Linked DNA regions of Nothobranchius furzeri. The protein of the gene in region 1 purifies or fractionates together with the protein of each later gene. This does not show direct contact. Links are inferred from orthologs where the notes say so. Each region holds a gene or a part of one and is shown on either strand. Other genes may lie near its edges.

The links. Proteins that work in one complex are often made in the same cells at the same time.
Region 2: the proteins of lrwd1 (region 1) and orc4 purify together in Homo sapiens (affinity purification with mass spectrometry; 3 studies listed by BioGRID and IntAct, with this or other methods). This does not show direct contact. The link is inferred for Nothobranchius furzeri from reciprocal best matches to the Homo sapiens genes LRWD1 and ORC4.

The regions. Positions count from the first base shown.
Region 1 is NC_091750.1:30,550,381-30,554,804, forward strand, and holds the start of lrwd1 (leucine-rich repeat and WD repeat-containing protein 1), read right to left. Parts: upstream 3,018-4,424; 5' UTR 2,946-3,017; intron 2,550-2,945; 5' UTR 2,538-2,549; coding exon 2,434-2,537; intron 2,275-2,433; coding exon 2,040-2,274; intron 1,567-2,039; coding exon 1,447-1,566; intron 1,261-1,446; coding exon 1,114-1,260; intron 1,021-1,113; coding exon 928-1,020; intron 787-927; coding exon 448-786; intron 294-447; coding exon 176-293; intron 27-175; coding exon 1-26. Other genes in the region: alkbh4 (alpha-ketoglutarate-dependent dioxygenase alkB homolog 4), read left to right, coding at 3,244-3,408, 3,699-3,887, 3,970-4,424. UniProt on the Homo sapiens protein: Required for G1/S transition. Recruits and stabilizes the origin recognition complex (ORC) onto chromatin during G1 to establish pre-replication complex (preRC) and to heterochromatic sites in post-replicated cells.
Region 2 is NC_091743.1:85,852,269-85,856,581, forward strand, and holds the start of orc4 (origin recognition complex subunit 4), read right to left. Parts: upstream 2,939-4,313; 5' UTR 2,865-2,938; intron 2,341-2,864; 5' UTR 2,335-2,340; coding exon 2,278-2,334; intron 2,207-2,277; coding exon 2,130-2,206; intron 1,797-2,129; coding exon 1,706-1,796; intron 1,606-1,705; coding exon 1,530-1,605; intron 1,457-1,529; coding exon 1,371-1,456; intron 1,295-1,370; coding exon 1,246-1,294; intron 1,166-1,245; coding exon 1,014-1,165; intron 939-1,013; coding exon 765-938; intron 2-764; coding exon 1-1. UniProt on the Homo sapiens protein: Component of the origin recognition complex (ORC) that binds origins of replication. DNA-binding is ATP-dependent. The specific DNA sequences that define origins of replication have not been identified yet.

The sequences.
Region 1 (4,424 bases):
GACCAGGCGGCTTTCACTGCAACAGCCTGTCAAAGCAGGGTTTCACAGCTCGCTCAGAGCCTCACAAACAACTCTAGTAAAGCGTTAGCTATCCGCTTTCATACACAGCTGTTGCTGTAAACCACGGAGGACTTGTTCTGATAAATCTGAGTGGATCAGAGGGGTTCATCAGTACCAGAGGAGCCTGACAGAGGCTGGAAAGCGCAGGCCCACAGCTGCGTGGAGAAGTCCCCGGAGCTGTCCTGTTTACTGTGACACTGGAGCACGTGGAGAGGCTTCAGATGCACCGGCTGCTGGAGGATCACACACAAGAGACGGATGAGAACGAACACAAACCCCTGTGGGTTGTTGTCTGACAAGATTGTGTCTTGTACGGAATAAACGACGACACTGGAATGTTTTTGTGGTTCTACAGCATCTAAAGGAGTCATCTGTGTGTTTCTTTACCTGACTCTTAGTACAAATCTTTATTATAGGCAGAGTGTACTGACTCCTGTGCAGCTGTTTGGTTTTGCTGACTTCTTTTTTCTGTTCAACCCGAACTTCTTCCTCTTCGAGTTGCTGTGATTTAGACCTCTTCCTGGGCGTCTCTGTCCTCGCCTGTCCTCTGGTGGGAGTGGAGACAGCCCCGTCTGTCCGGAGAGAGACCCTGCGGGACTTGCGAGGGCTGTCTTCAGCAGCTGAAGATTCTAGAGCGTTGACTCTCAACTTCTTGTGAGGCGTCAAAATTACTTTATCATCTGTCACCAGTTTGGTTCGTTTCCTCTTGGAAGGCGAGGAAATTATCTGAGAAAAGGAAGATAGAGTAAAATGTTTGACCCAGTTTGAACAGAAACAGCAAGAAGTTTTATTTAGAGACGCCATTTGTGCCAATGACAGTATTGTAACAGTGAAGTTTAAATAAAAGGTGCTGATTAGCAATCTTACACAGTTCTTTGTGGCCTCAGCAGACTCCTTGGGGATGAAGTCTTCTTTTGGTTGTGTCAGTGAGCGCAGATGCTCTTTAGCAAGAATCTCCACCTGAAAAATCAAAAGGAAGTAAAAACAAAACTGTTAAAAAGGGATGAAAATTAGCAAAAAAGTCCCAGAGATCCTTGTAAATTCAGGACTTGCCCTCCATTTGGTGAAATCGCTGACTGAACTGGGACCAAATTTGACTTGATGACGAGCAGCGTTCACAAAGTTCTTCTCCAGATCGGACATTTTGCCGGCCGTGATGGGATCTGGGAGACTGAAGCTCCGCTCCCAAACTGTGACTATCTGAAATCAAGCAGCAGCTGAGTGACCCAAGTGTGGGATATGATGAGAAAGTGCAGCAGCTGGGTCGTTTCCTTTTAAAATGCAACATTAGAGGTGTGATGCAATCGAGAGCCACAGCTTAACTCAAAGTCTAATGAATAATCATCATGAATGTTTTCAAACGAAAGTATTAAACGGTTTTCATACCCTGGTCCTCAGGTTGTCACTGAACACGTATCGTAAGTGGCTGGCAGTGGTGCTGACATCTTTGTTGTTGTAAATCCTCAGTTTGGGCAGCAACACCATCAGCTTGTAACTATCACTTATCTAAAAATAACAGAGTCAGGACTTGATCTCAGTTGTAAAAGAGAATTTTAAAGTTTGAGACAAAAATAAAGGAATATCTAACAAAAAGGAAAAGCTGCAGCGCTGCAGAGAACAAAAAGACGTGCTAATAAAACATCTAGACTTGTTGAAGTAGTTATCTGATGACAGCGTTAGAGGAAAACTTCCTTTTGGTTTGTTTTTTTCACCTCATGTGGATATTGTCGCGGTAAAATAGTCATGGGTGGAAAAACTGCATCACATGTAACAACCAGACTCCAAAAGATGCCACGGTAACGTTTTACGATTCTGTAAAGTTCTGAGATGAATTCAAAGACAGAAATTATACTTAAACCACTCATTTAAATAAGACCAATCGAATAGTTTGAATTTTAAAAAGGCAGCTCCGTCCTTTATGTTATAACAGAGACGGAACGGTACTGGATTACATGCGACAAAAACAGCCAAGTCCTCACTGTGATGTAAAAGTTGTCATCCATTTTTAGTTCCTCCAAGCTGCTCAGAGACTCTAAGGTGGTGACATCCTCCATCTGGTTGTTGGTGAGGTCCAGGTACCGAAGTGCAGGTAGCTTCAGGTTCTTTGGAAGCTCCTGCAGCCTGTTCCCGGATAGATCCCACCGCTCCAGGGACTGCAGGCGGGATAGCAGCTTCACAGGAAGATCCCCGTGCTTCAGCGCCATCTTAGACAGACTAAATAGAAGAAACCCGTCAAGTCAACATGGGGATTTTAGATCAAGCTTCATATCTGCAAGTAAAACTAATTTTACTATTAAATGCGATTAGTCATCAACTGATAAAAGAGTGACTTCACCAGAACACACAAATAGTTAATCAAGGGGGAAGACTTACTTCAGAGTTTTGATTTGCTCCAGTTTGTTGGTTTTTGGAGAACCTTTCTCCAGTAAAAGCTTCTCTGTTACATTCTCCATAGCTGATCTGCTGGAAAAGGACATCTAATGTGGAATCTATCAGCAAAATAACATGTTAAACTTTTATTCGCACTCACTGATTAAGTTGTATGGCCTGATAAGTTTAAATAATGTCTGTACTTAAAACGAGCTAAATATTTAGCATTTTTTCATTTAGTAAAGAGACGATGCCATTGCCAAGTGACATCTTTACTGAGAAAAATTTAATATAACCAAATCAACTTCATGCTTCAGCAAGGTAAAACTGAATCTGTTAGTTTGATTTCGATTGGTTTTACTTTAGCAGTAGCTAGCATAACCACGTTGACACGATCGATTAATCAACTCTTTGCTAGGTTAGTAGTTAGTAATATAACTGACTCTTTTTCTAGCCATAACAAATGAGCAAACACCTTTAATAATGTTTAATAAAGTATTTTTTATGTTACTTACCAACTCCTCTCTGCAACTTTTGTGTCTGCAACACAACTGACCTTTCCCGGGGAAACTCCGTCTACATCCGGTGGGCGTGGTTTACCTAAAACTTTGGCCACAGTTTACCCTGAACATTGGCTGTAAGACAAGTCAAACAAATACGACTTTCGATTATTATATTTCTTGTTTATCACATATATTACTAAGTATTGTCATATTTTGTTTTATTTGAAATTTTAATGCGCCAATAACAGTGCGGCAGAACGAAAATAGGGGTTAAAAGAAGTAATTTTACGCCTGCGGCTCCGTCCGCTAGATGGCAGTGGAGCTACGATTTCCAAGTAGAAGAAGATGCAACATGATGATGATGGTCTCTGACGACGGCGACGGGGTTATTCCATGCGCTTGTAAAGGCATCCGACGCTGTCTTGTCTGTGAAACGTTTAAGGCGAGTGTACTGCTTGAAACAAGAGAGTCAAAGGTACGTGTGTCGAACAAAAATCTCAGTTTTAATGTGCGATGTAACGTCTGTAAACCTTGGTACGGAAGCCCTCACTGGACAAATTGTGTTGTTTATCAAAAATCACTCTTGTTTGTTCTGACAATATTCTGGTACAATGTTGTAAATTTGATTTAAATAATGAGATACAACCCTGGTTTATTTAAATGTTGACGGCATGTATCTTTACTTATTGTGAAATGAAATTTTATAATTAAAACATGTCATCACAGCTTTTGTTTATTAATGTTATCTCTGTTTTTGGTATGAAGATTGTGCATCATTTCCTCTATAATGCCAAGACGGGGCTCGCTGTCAGCGAAGATGAAGAGGGCTCTTCCTTCCCTTTTTCTGGAGTCTTCCTGTGGGAGAACTTTATATCAGAGGAGGAGGAGAGGGAGCTGATTAGCGTAATGGACCAGGATGTGTGGCATCCCTCACAGTCTGGCCGAAGGAAACAGGTGGAAAACATTTAATGAAAATGTACTTTTTTGTGGGTTACATATTTTTAACATTCAAATTTTTCATTTTACACGGTTGCAGGACTTTGGCCCTAAAGTAAACTTCAAGAAGAGAAAAGTGCGCATCGCAGACTTTACTGGACTTCCTGCTTTAAGCCAAAAACTGGTGCTGCGGATGCAGCAAGATGCAAATCTTGCGGGCTTTCAACCAGTGGAGCAGTGCAATCTGGATTACGCTCCGGAGAGAGGCTCAGCCATTGATCCGCACCTGGATGACTCCTGGTTGTGGGGGGAGCGGCTGGTCACCATCAACATGTTATCAGAAACTGTGCTCACCATGTCTCTTGAGCAGGGTCTGCCAGAGTTGGGACTTTCAGAGGAAGTCCAGGTTGCTGTACGACTTCCTCGCAGGTGTTTAGTTGTGTTATACGGCGAGGCGAGGCATAGGTGGAAACATGCAATTCATAGGAAGGATATTCATGAACGCAGGGTCTGCAGCACATACAGAGAGCTGTCTGCAGAGTTCCTCCTTGGAGG
Region 2 (4,313 bases), on another chromosome or scaffold:
TCTGGAGAAAAATGAGCCGTAAAATGAAAGAACCGACTTTTTAAATCTATTTTTTTCTGTCATGCGTGCGGTTTTCGACCGGAAAAGGGTGGCTTGCCAACTCCGGGTCGGGGGAGAGGTCCTACCTCAAGTGGAGGAGTTTAAGTATCTCGGGGTCTTGTTCACGAGTGAGGGTAGGAGGGATCGGGAGATCGACAGGCGGATTGGTTCGGCGTCTGCAGTGATGCGGACGCTGAGCCGATCTGTCGTGGTGAAGAGGGAGCTGAGCCAGAAAGCCAGGCTCTCGATTTACCGGTCGATCTACGTCCCAATCCTCACCTATGGTCATGAGCTTTGGGTAATGACCGAAAGAACGAGATCGCGGATACAAGCGGCCGAAATGAGTTTCCTCCGTAGGGTGGCCGGGCTCAGCCTTAGAGATAGGGTGAGGAGCTAGGACATTCGGGAGGGACTCGGAGTAGAACCGCTGCTCCTCCGGATCGAAAGGAGTCAGTTGAGGTGGTTTGGGCATCTGGTCAGGATGCCTCCTGGACGCCTCCCTGAGGAGGTGTTTCGGGCATGTCCTGCCGGCAGGAGGCCCCCGGGTTGACCCAGGACACGTTGGAGAGGTTACATCTCCAATCTGGTCCGGGAACGCCTTGGGGTCCTGCCGGAGGAGCTGGTGGAGGTGGCCGGGGAGAGGACGGTCTGGAGCTCCCTAGTTGGGATGCTGCCCCCGCGACCCGGATAAGCGGAGGAAGACGACGACGTGTGGACGGGCTCACCGTTATGCTGGCATTCCACTCCTGAGCAAACTTCCTGTCCGGGAAGTCGCCCGGCAGGCTGAGCTGCGTTTGGACACGCTCTAGGTACTGAGTGAATGTCAGGCTGCTCAGCAGGTAGATCTGACGGTGGGAAAACCGCGACTTCACCCGCTTCTCCAGCAGCTCAAGGACATCCTAAAGAGAACGAATCAAAGCTCACATCCTCTGACTGAATGGTGGGAGATGGTAAACTGGTTTTCTCAGACTCACCAGTCGACACGTGAGGCCGACCACAGCGATGGGCGCCTGGGCGGACTGGGAGACGTCAAACAGGTTGTAGAGCAGGGTCTGGTTCTTATGATGGGCGAAAAGGTCAAACTCCTCCAGAACGAACAGAACCGGACGGCTGCTGCTGCGCTCACCTTCGGGAGACCAAAACCAGCACTCGGCACTGCTTATAACAGCTAAACATTCACATTTACAATCCGTTTGAGAAACTAACCTTTTTTCAGTGCGTCCAGGAGAAAAGCTAAATTTTCTGCAAAACTTCCCTGAAAATGAAACCAAAACAACGTTTTTGCGTGGATTCTCTCGCAGGAACAGCTAAAGCTCTGTGTGAAAACTCACAAACACTTTGTCACCAACGACATTCTCCAGGTGGAGTTGTCGGGTAATTTCTTTCAGGGCTATTCTGTCGTCTGTCTGCAGCAGACCTGCAGCAAGCACAATACATCTCAATATCTGGTTCCAGCAAAAAGTCGGATTCAGAAGCATTTTTTAGATTACCGTTGAGATGAACCTGAAGGAGGTTTTTGTGCACTTCTGTTTCCTTCATCAGCTCCCTCAGCACACACTTCAGCAGCTACAAAAACTTACCGTCAATACGTGGCAACCCTTCCAGAATTTAAAGCTAATTAATCATATTTTAAGTGTTTGTTACGTTTAAGCCTGTAGAGACTCACCGTGGTTTTTCCAGCTCCTCTGGGACCGACTATTAGCACAGAGTTACTCTCCCCGTGGACAGCCGTTCGTTTCAGCAGCTCCGCGAGGTGTCTGCAGGCACATAAAAACATAAAACTGCTTCGACTAACAAGTGAAAACTGTTAAATCTTCAGAGTTGCAGGTGGATTTGAGTTGAAATCAGCTGGGAGCTTTTATCCTACTGCAAACTGGGACAGACCTGTCATCCAGGCCTGACTCAACTGGGTCATCTTACGTAATCTGAACCCCGAGTTTTCACTTTATCACTAAAAACTATGTTTTCAAACATTTTGCACATAAAATTATTTATTCTTAAATTATCCTCAGCAGCAAAATAACTAGAAACCCAGCAGAGTTCATCTGTTTAATGATTTTTGTGTCTTATTTAAAAAAAAAAGCACCAACTTGTGTTGAGCTTCCACTCCCTGTGGTCTGTCAGGGAGCTGCTGATGGCAGAAACGCCGCCTCAAAATCTGATGAACCTGCAAATAAAAGATAGATTTATGTATTTTTGCACTTAAAAGTCATAAATGAGTGTTTTCGTTAACCACACCTGGGTGATGCATTCTCCTACAGGCAGATGGGCATCTTTCACTTTCCTCTTGCTCATTATGAACTGTGAAACATTGTAAATGTCAAACATTAACACTGCAACAGTGTAACCAATTATATGCAGTTTATTAAGTTTTCTAGTAAACTCAGAAACCTGTAATTTAAGCGTTTGTTCATAAAATAGATGCACTTTCAAATACGTATGCTCACATGACAGCTTAGCTTCTAATTGCCCATCATTTTATGGTAAATTGCTACAAATTACAATATAATAAAGATTTCAGTGAGTATTATATGCGCCGAATTAATAAACAAATACTTTTTTACAGAAGATCATTCCAAGTTGGCTCGAATTTGCTTCATATCAGTCAGAAAGGAGGAATTTATACATTTCTTTTAACTTCACCATTTAGTTTGGCAGCAATTATGTCTACTGGTCTCAGCTCGTGTCCAGTGCTCTCGGCACGAGCCAGCTGGCTCTACGTCATACACTTGGTGTTTAAATCAGGTCTGTTTGAAATTAAATTATGTTGTTTCTCAATAAAAACGTGTACACGAATATAGTTGTGGTAAATATAGATGGCTTACCTGAGATTTCGTCGTGTGCAAACCTTCGCGGGAACGCAATGATGACGACTTCCTGCTTTGGCTGGATCTCCTTCCTGATTGGCTGAGACAGAAACAAGCAAAATAAAGCGAAGATGAAGTTTGAGGTAAACGGACGTAAGAATGGATGAATGCGTAAAAGCTGCACGTTAAATTAAAATAAGATTTCATAAATAGCTCTATTTTTTCCAATTTTTTATAACCGAATAAGAGATACGTATTTTAGACATAAAAGCTGTAGAAGTTTGAATGTTGCCCCCTACTGGCATAAAAAAGAGCTGAATTACCAAATCAACATCTTTTAACATAAAAACAAAATACCGTATTTATACTTAATTATTAACTATCTTGTTTAACAGTTGTACAAAACGTTATAAAGAAAAAAATGTTTTTCGTAATTTAGTATATTTGTAAAAACATTTAATCCTGAATAATTATTTACTTTTTTCAGGTTTTGTGATCTTGCCCTCTCCATTGAGAAGTCCTGAATAATAATAATAATAATAATAATAATAATAATAAATTAATTTACACATGTTCTAACTTTTGGTAGTTTTTTCATAGTTTTAAACATCTATCTGCTGAAGTTCATTCTAAGCTTAGACAGATTTCGTGCTGCATTTTTACAGTGATCCTGTAATGTGATCCTTTGGTGGGAAATGTGCTGTGAACAAAACACCACAACAAACTTCAAAATGTTATTTTTAAAAATCAGGATGAAACAATATACCCAAAAAAAGTCTATTTAGTCAATGCATTAGTGTTTTAAAAATATTTTCTTATATGAAAATCATGTCAATACTTAATTTTTAATGGCAACACAAATAAAAGAGACACAATAACTTGCTTATGTTGTTTAACTTGCCTATGTTAAAATCTAAATCACTTTTATGTATTTTATTATTTATGTGCATCTAAGGTTTTTGGCTATAATTGGGGTAATTTTAGCGTCTTTGAGCTAGCAATATTATTTGCCAAAATGTTAAAAATTAACAATTTTTCTGTGACATTTGTAAATCAGCTTTGTTCAAATATTCAGCTGAGTGTCTGAGCTGACAAAAAATATTTTTCTGCTTCACTCATTTATCTTCTTCTCAGGTTGGACCTTCAGAGCTGAGCTTCCGTGTATTTTGTTGATCTTTATTAGCATTTGTTTTAATTACGCTATCTTAGACTATGTATTCTCAATTTTAACATAGTTTGTTTTTATTCAATATGTTATTAGCTGTTTTTTTGTGAAACCCTGTGTCTTACATAAACATAATGTGTTTTCGGTAAACTTACTAAAAGTGGTTTCCTACACCAAAATAATTAATAAAAAATTTCTGTATTATTTGTGTTTTCATGTGTCCTCATGTTTTTGTGTATTATAAAATGTTCTTGTTGTAGTGAAAATGTTTTGTGTTTATTTACATTTTATGACAGGCAAAT